Linked DNA regions of Sus scrofa. The protein of the gene in region 1 interacts with the protein of each later gene in a biochemical or structural test. Links are inferred from orthologs where the notes say so. Each region holds a gene or a part of one and is shown on either strand. Other genes may lie near its edges.

Evidence for each region.
Region 2: the proteins of ANXA7 (region 1) and SRI interact in a biophysical measurement, tested with the Homo sapiens proteins (2 studies listed by BioGRID and IntAct, with this or other methods). The link is inferred for Sus scrofa from reciprocal best matches to the Homo sapiens genes ANXA7 and SRI.

Annotation. Positions count from the first base shown.
Region 1 is NC_010456.5:76,231,763-76,236,040, forward strand, and holds the start of ANXA7 (annexin A7), read right to left. Parts: upstream 2,885-4,278; 5' UTR 2,735-2,884; intron 1-2,734. UniProt on the Homo sapiens protein: Calcium/phospholipid-binding protein which promotes membrane fusion and is involved in exocytosis.
Region 2 is NC_010451.4:68,495,597-68,499,086, reverse strand, and holds part of SRI (sorcin), read left to right. Parts: intron 1-176; coding exon 177-220; intron 221-1,577; coding exon 1,578-1,725; intron 1,726-1,970; coding exon 1,971-2,084; exon of another isoform or gene 2,085-3,194; coding exon 3,195-3,253; intron 3,254-3,490. UniProt on the Homo sapiens protein: Calcium-binding protein that modulates excitation-contraction coupling in the heart. Contributes to calcium homeostasis in the heart sarcoplasmic reticulum. Modulates the activity of RYR2 calcium channels.

The DNA.
Region 1 (4,278 bases):
GCCACAGTTGATAAAATGAATAAAGGAGAAACAACATCATCTAAGGACAGTCAGATGAACCAAGGGCAAAAGAGGTCAAGGTCAAAAGAAAGGGGAAAAATCTGAAAACAATTTATGAGAGAAATTCATAACTTTAAAGGCAACAAGTGTTACAGCACCAAAGACTACATAAGCAATTTAAATTTCTAAATCTTGAGAACTGTTTCAAGATACAGTTAAGTTCATTTCTATATTCTTTAGCTACTATATCAAATCTTACCTTTAAGGACCCTAGAGGAATTATGTCAACAAGAGTTTCAGAACAGAATGAAGATGAAGTAGACTATCTGCATATGAGAAAACTTAAAGCAATTTAAAGAAAATGAATTTGGGTACATTTTGAAGAATAATTATATAGGGGTTCCCTCTGTGGTGCGTGGGTTAAGAGTCTGACTGCAGTGGCTCAGGTTCTGTGGAGGCATGGGTTCGATCCCTGGTCCAGTGCAATGGGTTAAAGGATCCGGCATTGCCACAGCTGTGGCATAGGTCACAGCTGCGGCTGGGATTCAATCACTGGCTCGGGAACTTCCATATGCCATGGGTGCAGCCATATAATTAAAAAAATATATAAGTATATAAAGGACTATAATGCAATTCCATTTCCAAGATGTACCTTATAGAAATACTTGCACAAATGCAAAATTATATTCATACAAGGCTATTCATTTCATTACAGCACTACTTGTAATGGAAAAAGATTAAAAACAATCTAGGAGTTCCCGTCGTGGCGCAGTGGTTAACGAATCCGACTAGGAACCATGAGGTTGCAGGTTCGGTCCCTGCCCTTGCTCAGTGGGTTAAGGATCTGTCGTTGCCGTGAGCTGTGGTGTAGGTTGCAGACACGGCTCGGATCCCGCGTTGCTGTGGTTCTGGCGTAGGCCGGTGGCTACAGCTCCGATTCAACCCCTAGCCTGGGAACCTCCATATGCCGTGGGAGCGGCCCAAGAAATAGCAAAAAGACAAAAAAAAAAAGACAAAAAAAAAATTTTTTAAAAATAAAAAAATAAAAACAATCTAAAAGTCCATTAAAAAGGGACAAGTGAAATAGATTATAGGTAACCATACACTGAAATGTTATGGAACTATTTAAAATGAGCAACTCTCTTTTTACTCATATGTGATACTATCTCTAAGTCACATTAAATGGAAAGAAAGGTGGAAAACTGCATAGATACTTTGCAAACAAATGTGTAAAGAAAATACATTTATTTGCTTGTATGTGGAGAGAATATCTCTGAAAGTATACTCAATCAAGAAAGCAGTTAATAGTGGCTGCCTTCTAAGAGGAGGGCTGGGACATAACAAGGAGACTTACTTTTCGATGCACCTAACCGTTTTGGAATTGTGCATGTATCATCTATTCAAAAAGTAGATTTAAAAAGCTTTTGTAAAAAGCTTAAACAAACTCAAGGGTGACTCAACAAACAACTCAATTTTGCCCAAGGAATAATTAGACTACACCAGTGAACCAGAAATTTTATTTTCTTTTTAACATTCTCCATCAGCAAATACTTTTAAATGACTAGGAAAGTAATCTTGGTTCCACAAAGCATCTCCACCCAGTGAGTCAACTACTAAAAGGCGTGGGTCTCACTATGCAAGTCTCATAAATGGCATGAAGCCCAAGAACACAGGAGGCAGCTGTTGTAAATTAATGAAACAAATATGAAACAGGAACAGTGAATGAAGATGGCCAAGAGCAGATACTACAATTTTCCAAAACGTGTCTCTTGATTGGGAAGGACCTTTTAAATCCATCAGCAAGGGCCCTTCAGTAGAGAATTGGAGTCCTGACTAGCCTCTGCATGGGCAGGGTAGGCAACCAACACCAGAGGATTGCAAGGCTCAGGGCAAAATTCTCTTTTAGCGGCCTATCCACTTGAAACTGCTTCCCTGCCTGAGAAGTAACTCATTCCAGGCATTATCTAACTAGGACAGATTACTTTATCAGATCAGCTACCCATCAACTGGGAGAAATGAGGGAGTTTAAAAGCAATTAGAAGACTTCATTTCTGTCACTTTTGGGGGGACAACAAGCATTTCCTTCTGTAGAAGTGTTCACACAGGTTGGGCTCACATGTTTGCTGCTGTTCAGGGAATAGGCACCAAATCTGGAATGCGACTTCCTAGGAGAGTTTCCAAGGATTATAGACCTGAGCCAGGTTTACAGGTTCTGTCCTGGGGGCGGGGGAAGGGGGTGTCTCTAAGCAAAGTACAAATTTCTTAAGTTTCCCTAAATTTGCTGTGTCACCAGCAAGTCTAGACCCCCCCGGCTGGACTAGCCTTCGGTGCTGCTCGCTGGTTTTCTTACTCAGCCCTCCCTGAGGCCGCTTCAGCAGGGCCGTGCCCTGGCCTCAGTCCCTCCACCTGCGGCCCACCTGCCTGCGTGGGAGGCGTCATTGCTTCCTCCAAACTGTGGACAGACAAGTGAACAGGTCTTCCGGTAGCCGGGTCGCCGCGCAGATTCCGCCCCAATACGCCCCAGGCCCAACGCCCCCACTAGGCATCCTGGGTCCCGCGACGCGCACACCGCGACGCCCGCCACCCGGCTGGCCCACAGGCCCCTCCACCGCCCCGCGGCTCCAGGACACGCGCGGGGCCCCGCCCTCCCCCGGATGGCAGGCCTCGGAGCGGGCCGCGGCGACAAGACCGAGGGGGACGCGCGGTGGCAAGGGCAGGGGGCGCCGTTCCTCACCTGAACCCGGGGAGCAGCGTCACACACACTCCGGCTCGGTCGCTGGCAAGATGGAGCCGGGGAGGGCGGGGGGAAAGGCGGGGCGCCCAGGGCCGCCTCCCGAGCCCGTTAGGATCGCCAGCCGCGACTGCCGGGAACGCCCCTGGGGCAGGAGGGGGCGGGGCCGCAGGGCCAGCCGGGGACCCACCACCTGAGAGAGGACGCTCTCTTCGGGCGCAATAAGCCAGTTCTAATCTCACTTCTTGTTACCAAGGTCCATGCGCCAGTTCCTTCTGGGCTCTCTCAAGGCCCTTGGGAAGTTAAAGCCGTTAAAGCCAAGGGAACCGTTGAAAGGGTCTAACGACGGTTCTCTGCCGCCCCTTTAGTGGTGAGCGGCAGAGATGGACTCAAGACTGGGAGGCCAGGTGCAGCCTCTCCGCCTGATATGCCATCTTCCCTCGCCTGTTCTAAGGCCAAGGACGGCGTGAAATAAATTAATATTTATGGAGATCCTTAATAGGCACAACACGAGATACACTAATCAATACCACTCCAGAAGGGAGTTGCAAGGTGATTCTAGGCTCCCCTCACACTAGAGCCCTATCATGACATACACCGCGGCATTAAACATTTGAGGCAATTTCAAGGGCCCAGATCAGTATCTTAAACTCATTAAGGAAATTTAATCCAGAGCAAAAACCAGTTGGCTACCTTTTCCAATGGTTCTCAAACTGTGGCCCCAAACCAACAGCCACCACATTACCTGGAAACTTACTAGAAATGCAAATTATTGGACTTCACCTTAGACCGACTGAATTAAACTCTAAAGGTGAAGTCCAGAAGTCTATTTTAACAAGCTCTCTAGGTGGTTCTATGCACACCAGTTGGAGAACCATCAACCTATTACTTCATATGCTTTTCCACCAGAAATCTTTCCCACGGGGGTGAAATAGGGTGGATTAAATTTTTAGGTGGGAAGAGCAAGATAAACATGTCTCTAAAACAGGGGAAAGTGGAAGGTACTTGAGGAAGATCACTGTGGAATTTAAACAAAACTGCACCACACTCTGGGTACCCAGCATTAATCTCCCAGCTCCCACCAGTCTGTCTGGCAAATATTGGGCTTTTCTGTCCAACCTGCCTGGAGACCTCTGGAATTTAAGCATTCCCTAAGAAGCCTGTTCTCACTCCTCTTTGCTCAACCTTCCTTCCTTGGTGACCTCATCCTCACCCTTCTCTCTGCCTTAACTATCACCTTAAGAGGTTATTTCCCAAACCTCTATTTCCAAGCCCACTTTCCCGAGTTTTAGGGCCAAAATATCCAAAAGCCTATTCAGGCAGGAACACTAGATTTCCCACTTAATCCTTTGTCCTTCTTTCCTGACACATAAGGCCTTCCAAGATCAGAGGTCTTTTCTCATGCTTCCTCCACTTAGAAAGCACTGCCCCCCCCTTTTTTTTTTTTTACTGGCCATACCTAAGGAATACAGAAGTCCCCAGGCTAGAAGTTGAATCGGAGATGCAGCTGAGGCCTACACAACCACTGCAACACCAAATCCTAGCTG
Region 2 (3,490 bases), on another chromosome or scaffold:
CTGGGAAAAAAAAATCTGCTTCAAAGCACCATGAATTCTGTTTCTCATAAATTGAGCATCATATAAAAAGAAAAATGTATATAAATAATGGCATTCCTAATTAATTTGAAGGTAGCCAAAGTAGTGAGAATTTTTGAAACTGTATTAATATGTATGTGCTTTTCTTGATTTAACAGCTTTTAACCTGGAGACCTGCCGGCTTATGGTTTCAATGCTGGATGTATCCTTTACCTTGATTGCTGTCTAGAGTATTTTTTTCTGGCTGGAAAAATAAATTTTTCCTGAGGATTAAGGAAGTAAGAATTCATTCCTTGGAGTTCCCGTCGTGGCTCAGTGGTTAACGAAACTGACTAGCATCCATGAGGACACGGGTTGGATCCTTGGCCTCGTTCAGTGGGTTAAGGATCCAGTGTTGCTGTGAGCTCTGGTGTAGGTTGCAGACGTGGCTCGGATCCCATGCTGCTGTGGCTATGGTGTAGGCCAGTGGCTACAGCTCCGATTCAACTCCTAGCCTGGAACCTCCATATGCTGGGGGTGTGGTCCTAAAAATACAAAAGACAAAAAAAGAAAAAAAAAAAAAAAGAATTCATTACTTGGTGTGAATTCTTAACTGAGATGCCATTTGCTGTGAAAAAGGAGAGAAGCATAGTAAATAGAGCATATTGATTAGTTAAGAATTTGAGGAAGCAGGAGTTCTTGTCTTGGCCCAGCAGAAACGAATCTGACTAGTATCCATGAGTTTACAGGTTCGATCCCTGCTCACTCAGCGAGTTAAGGATCCAGTGTTGCCATGAGCTGTGGTGTAGGTCACAGAGGAGGCTCGCATCTTGCACGTTGCTGTGGCTATGATGTAGGCTGGCGGCTACATCTCTGATTCAACCCCTAGCCTGGAAACTCCCATATGCCACGGGTATAGCCTAAAAAGACAAAAAAAAAAAAAAAAAAAAAAAAAAAAAAAAAAAAACCCAAAGAATTTGAGGAAGCACCAAAGGCAAACAAGGACAGAAACTAAAGCAGTGGGGGGGGAGGCTTTGGCACTTGTGAAATTGATGACTCTGCTCAATTGACACCTGACCTTCAAGCAATGGGATTTTTCACATCAGGGTTGTTAGACTTGGTTGAACTAGTGCTGACCTGGTGGTGCCTTCTTCCCACCTCATTTTCCAAAGTGAAAACACTGGGTTTGGGAGGGTGGGAGGGTTCACCAGGGGAATGGGAGGGCTAAAGAGGACCGGGGCAGACGGCTCAGCCTTATTGCCTGGGCCACCAGAAAGTGCAGCCCAGTTTGGTCCCCTGACTGCTTGTTACAGGTGGTGAACAGTGGCCTCTTTATTTCCTTGTAATCCTATCATAAAGATTACCTTTTTCCATAGTGGAACATATATACTCAGAGCTTTTTCTCCACAGGCCCTTTTTATTATATATTGGGGCATCTTTGTCCTATCATCCCCCAAAAATGTATAACTTTTGAACCCTTTCAACTGAAAGAACATTGAATCCCCTCATCCTTGATCTTTGATTTAATCATGAGAAACTATTACAAGCTCAAGATGCTGTAATCCTTGATGACAGTTCAGAGAGATATGTCCGGCACAATGGGTTTCAATGAATTCAAAGAACTCTGGGCTGTGCTGAATGGCTGGAGGCAGCACTTTATCAGTTTTGACAGCGACAGGAGTGGGACAGTGGATCCTCAAGAACTGCAGAAGGCCCTGACCACAATGGGTGGGTATGCCGGACCCCCACGCTCTTCATTGGTAGGAGTCTTTTTTTTTTTTTTAATTCATAAAACTTAAGTGCCACGTGAAAGCGGTGTCTATTTTCCAGAAGTCATGTGTATTCATAATTTAAAGGAGCCCTGTCTTAAACAAATGTGCTTGGTTATTTTTAAAGGTCTTTTTGTAATCCTTGAACCTTTTTCTTTTCTTTTTTTTTTTTTTTTTTTGCTGGATGATTTCTCTTCCTTCCAGGATTTAGATTGAGTCCCCAGGCCGTGAATTCAATTGCAAAACGATACAGCACCAATGGCAAGATCACCTTTGATGATTACATCGCCTGCTGTGTCAAGCTGCGTGCTCTTACAGGTGTGGCCTCTGAGGTTGCTGTTAATTGTAGTAGCCAGCAGAATCACTCTGTTCTCTCAGAACATTTTTTCACATTTCTAAGTAATCTGCCATTCAAATCATCCTTACTCAACTTTGCTAAAATGGTCTAAAATTTCACAAGCTAACTGGTCTGTTTTTGGTCAGAGTGTGAACAGTATCCTGTGATTTCTCCCTAGACCGTGAAACACTTGAGAAGAATGAAATTATCCTTTGGTAGTTTCTCTTACCTAATTCCTCTTGTTGAAAAGTAATGTAAAATAATAGTCTCTGTCTCACATGTGCTTCTTAAGCAATATCAATAATCTCTACTTTTCTCTCTCTTTTTCTTTCTTCTGCATGTTTTTTTTTTTTTTTTTACTCCATTCCTCTCTTTAGTTTTTTACCCTTTTTAATATCTGGTTTTATCATTTTTTTGCACAAATGCAAAGACAGATTTTTAAGTAAATCCTTTTCATTTAATAGGACAGAGCTCAAAGAGGTGGAATATTTAAAATGATCACAGCTGTTTGTCCTACTAAAGACACCATCCATCTTCTAATTAAACAATAAGAAGTCTGAAAATATGTGCTTCCATTAACAATTAAGGAATGGGGTGTTCCTGTGGTGGCTCACTGGGTTAAGGACCTGATGTTGTTTCTCTGAGGTTGTGGGTTCAATCCCTGACCTCGCTCAGTGGGTAAAGACTCTGGTGCTGTGGTGTAGGCCTCAACTGCAGCTCCGTCCAACTCAAACCCTAGCTAGGAACATCCATATGCTACAGGTGCAGTCATTAAAAAAAAAAAAAATTAAGGAATGGCCTGAGAAGTCACATGGCTTTTACTGACTTTGGGATAAGGTGTTTTCTTCCAGCTACAGGCTGAGAAAGACAGTTGGCCAACTTCTGCATGTTGTATTACTTGGTTGCATATTAAATCTATTCACATTCGTATAGTTGGCTTCTTTGCTTTAGTCTTTGTTTATATTGGCTGGTTGAACAGTTTAAACCCACTTTAGACTGCATCTTGAACCCAGTACCAACATAATTAACAATTATGATTTCAGATAAGATGTTTACACAACACTCATAAATTTGACTGTGGTGTTTTACAGACAGCTTTCGAAGACGGGATACTGCTCAGCAAGGTGTTGTGAATTTCCCATATGATGATGTAAGTCTCAGTAAATTCAGAACTGGGTAGACAAGGAAGGCGTGCGGCAAATGGGCATCTCTTTGAAGTTGGCTGTTGAGAGCATCTCAAGGATGCCAGCACAACCGAGGATTAAATGACCAGGAGTTCCCATTCAAAACACATTGAAAAACCTGGGTCAGAGCCCAGCCTGTAGCAGGGTCACTCAGACAGGGCTCTTCGTTTGCTCAGAGATTATTTGAGGAGAGAGGAAGTGGT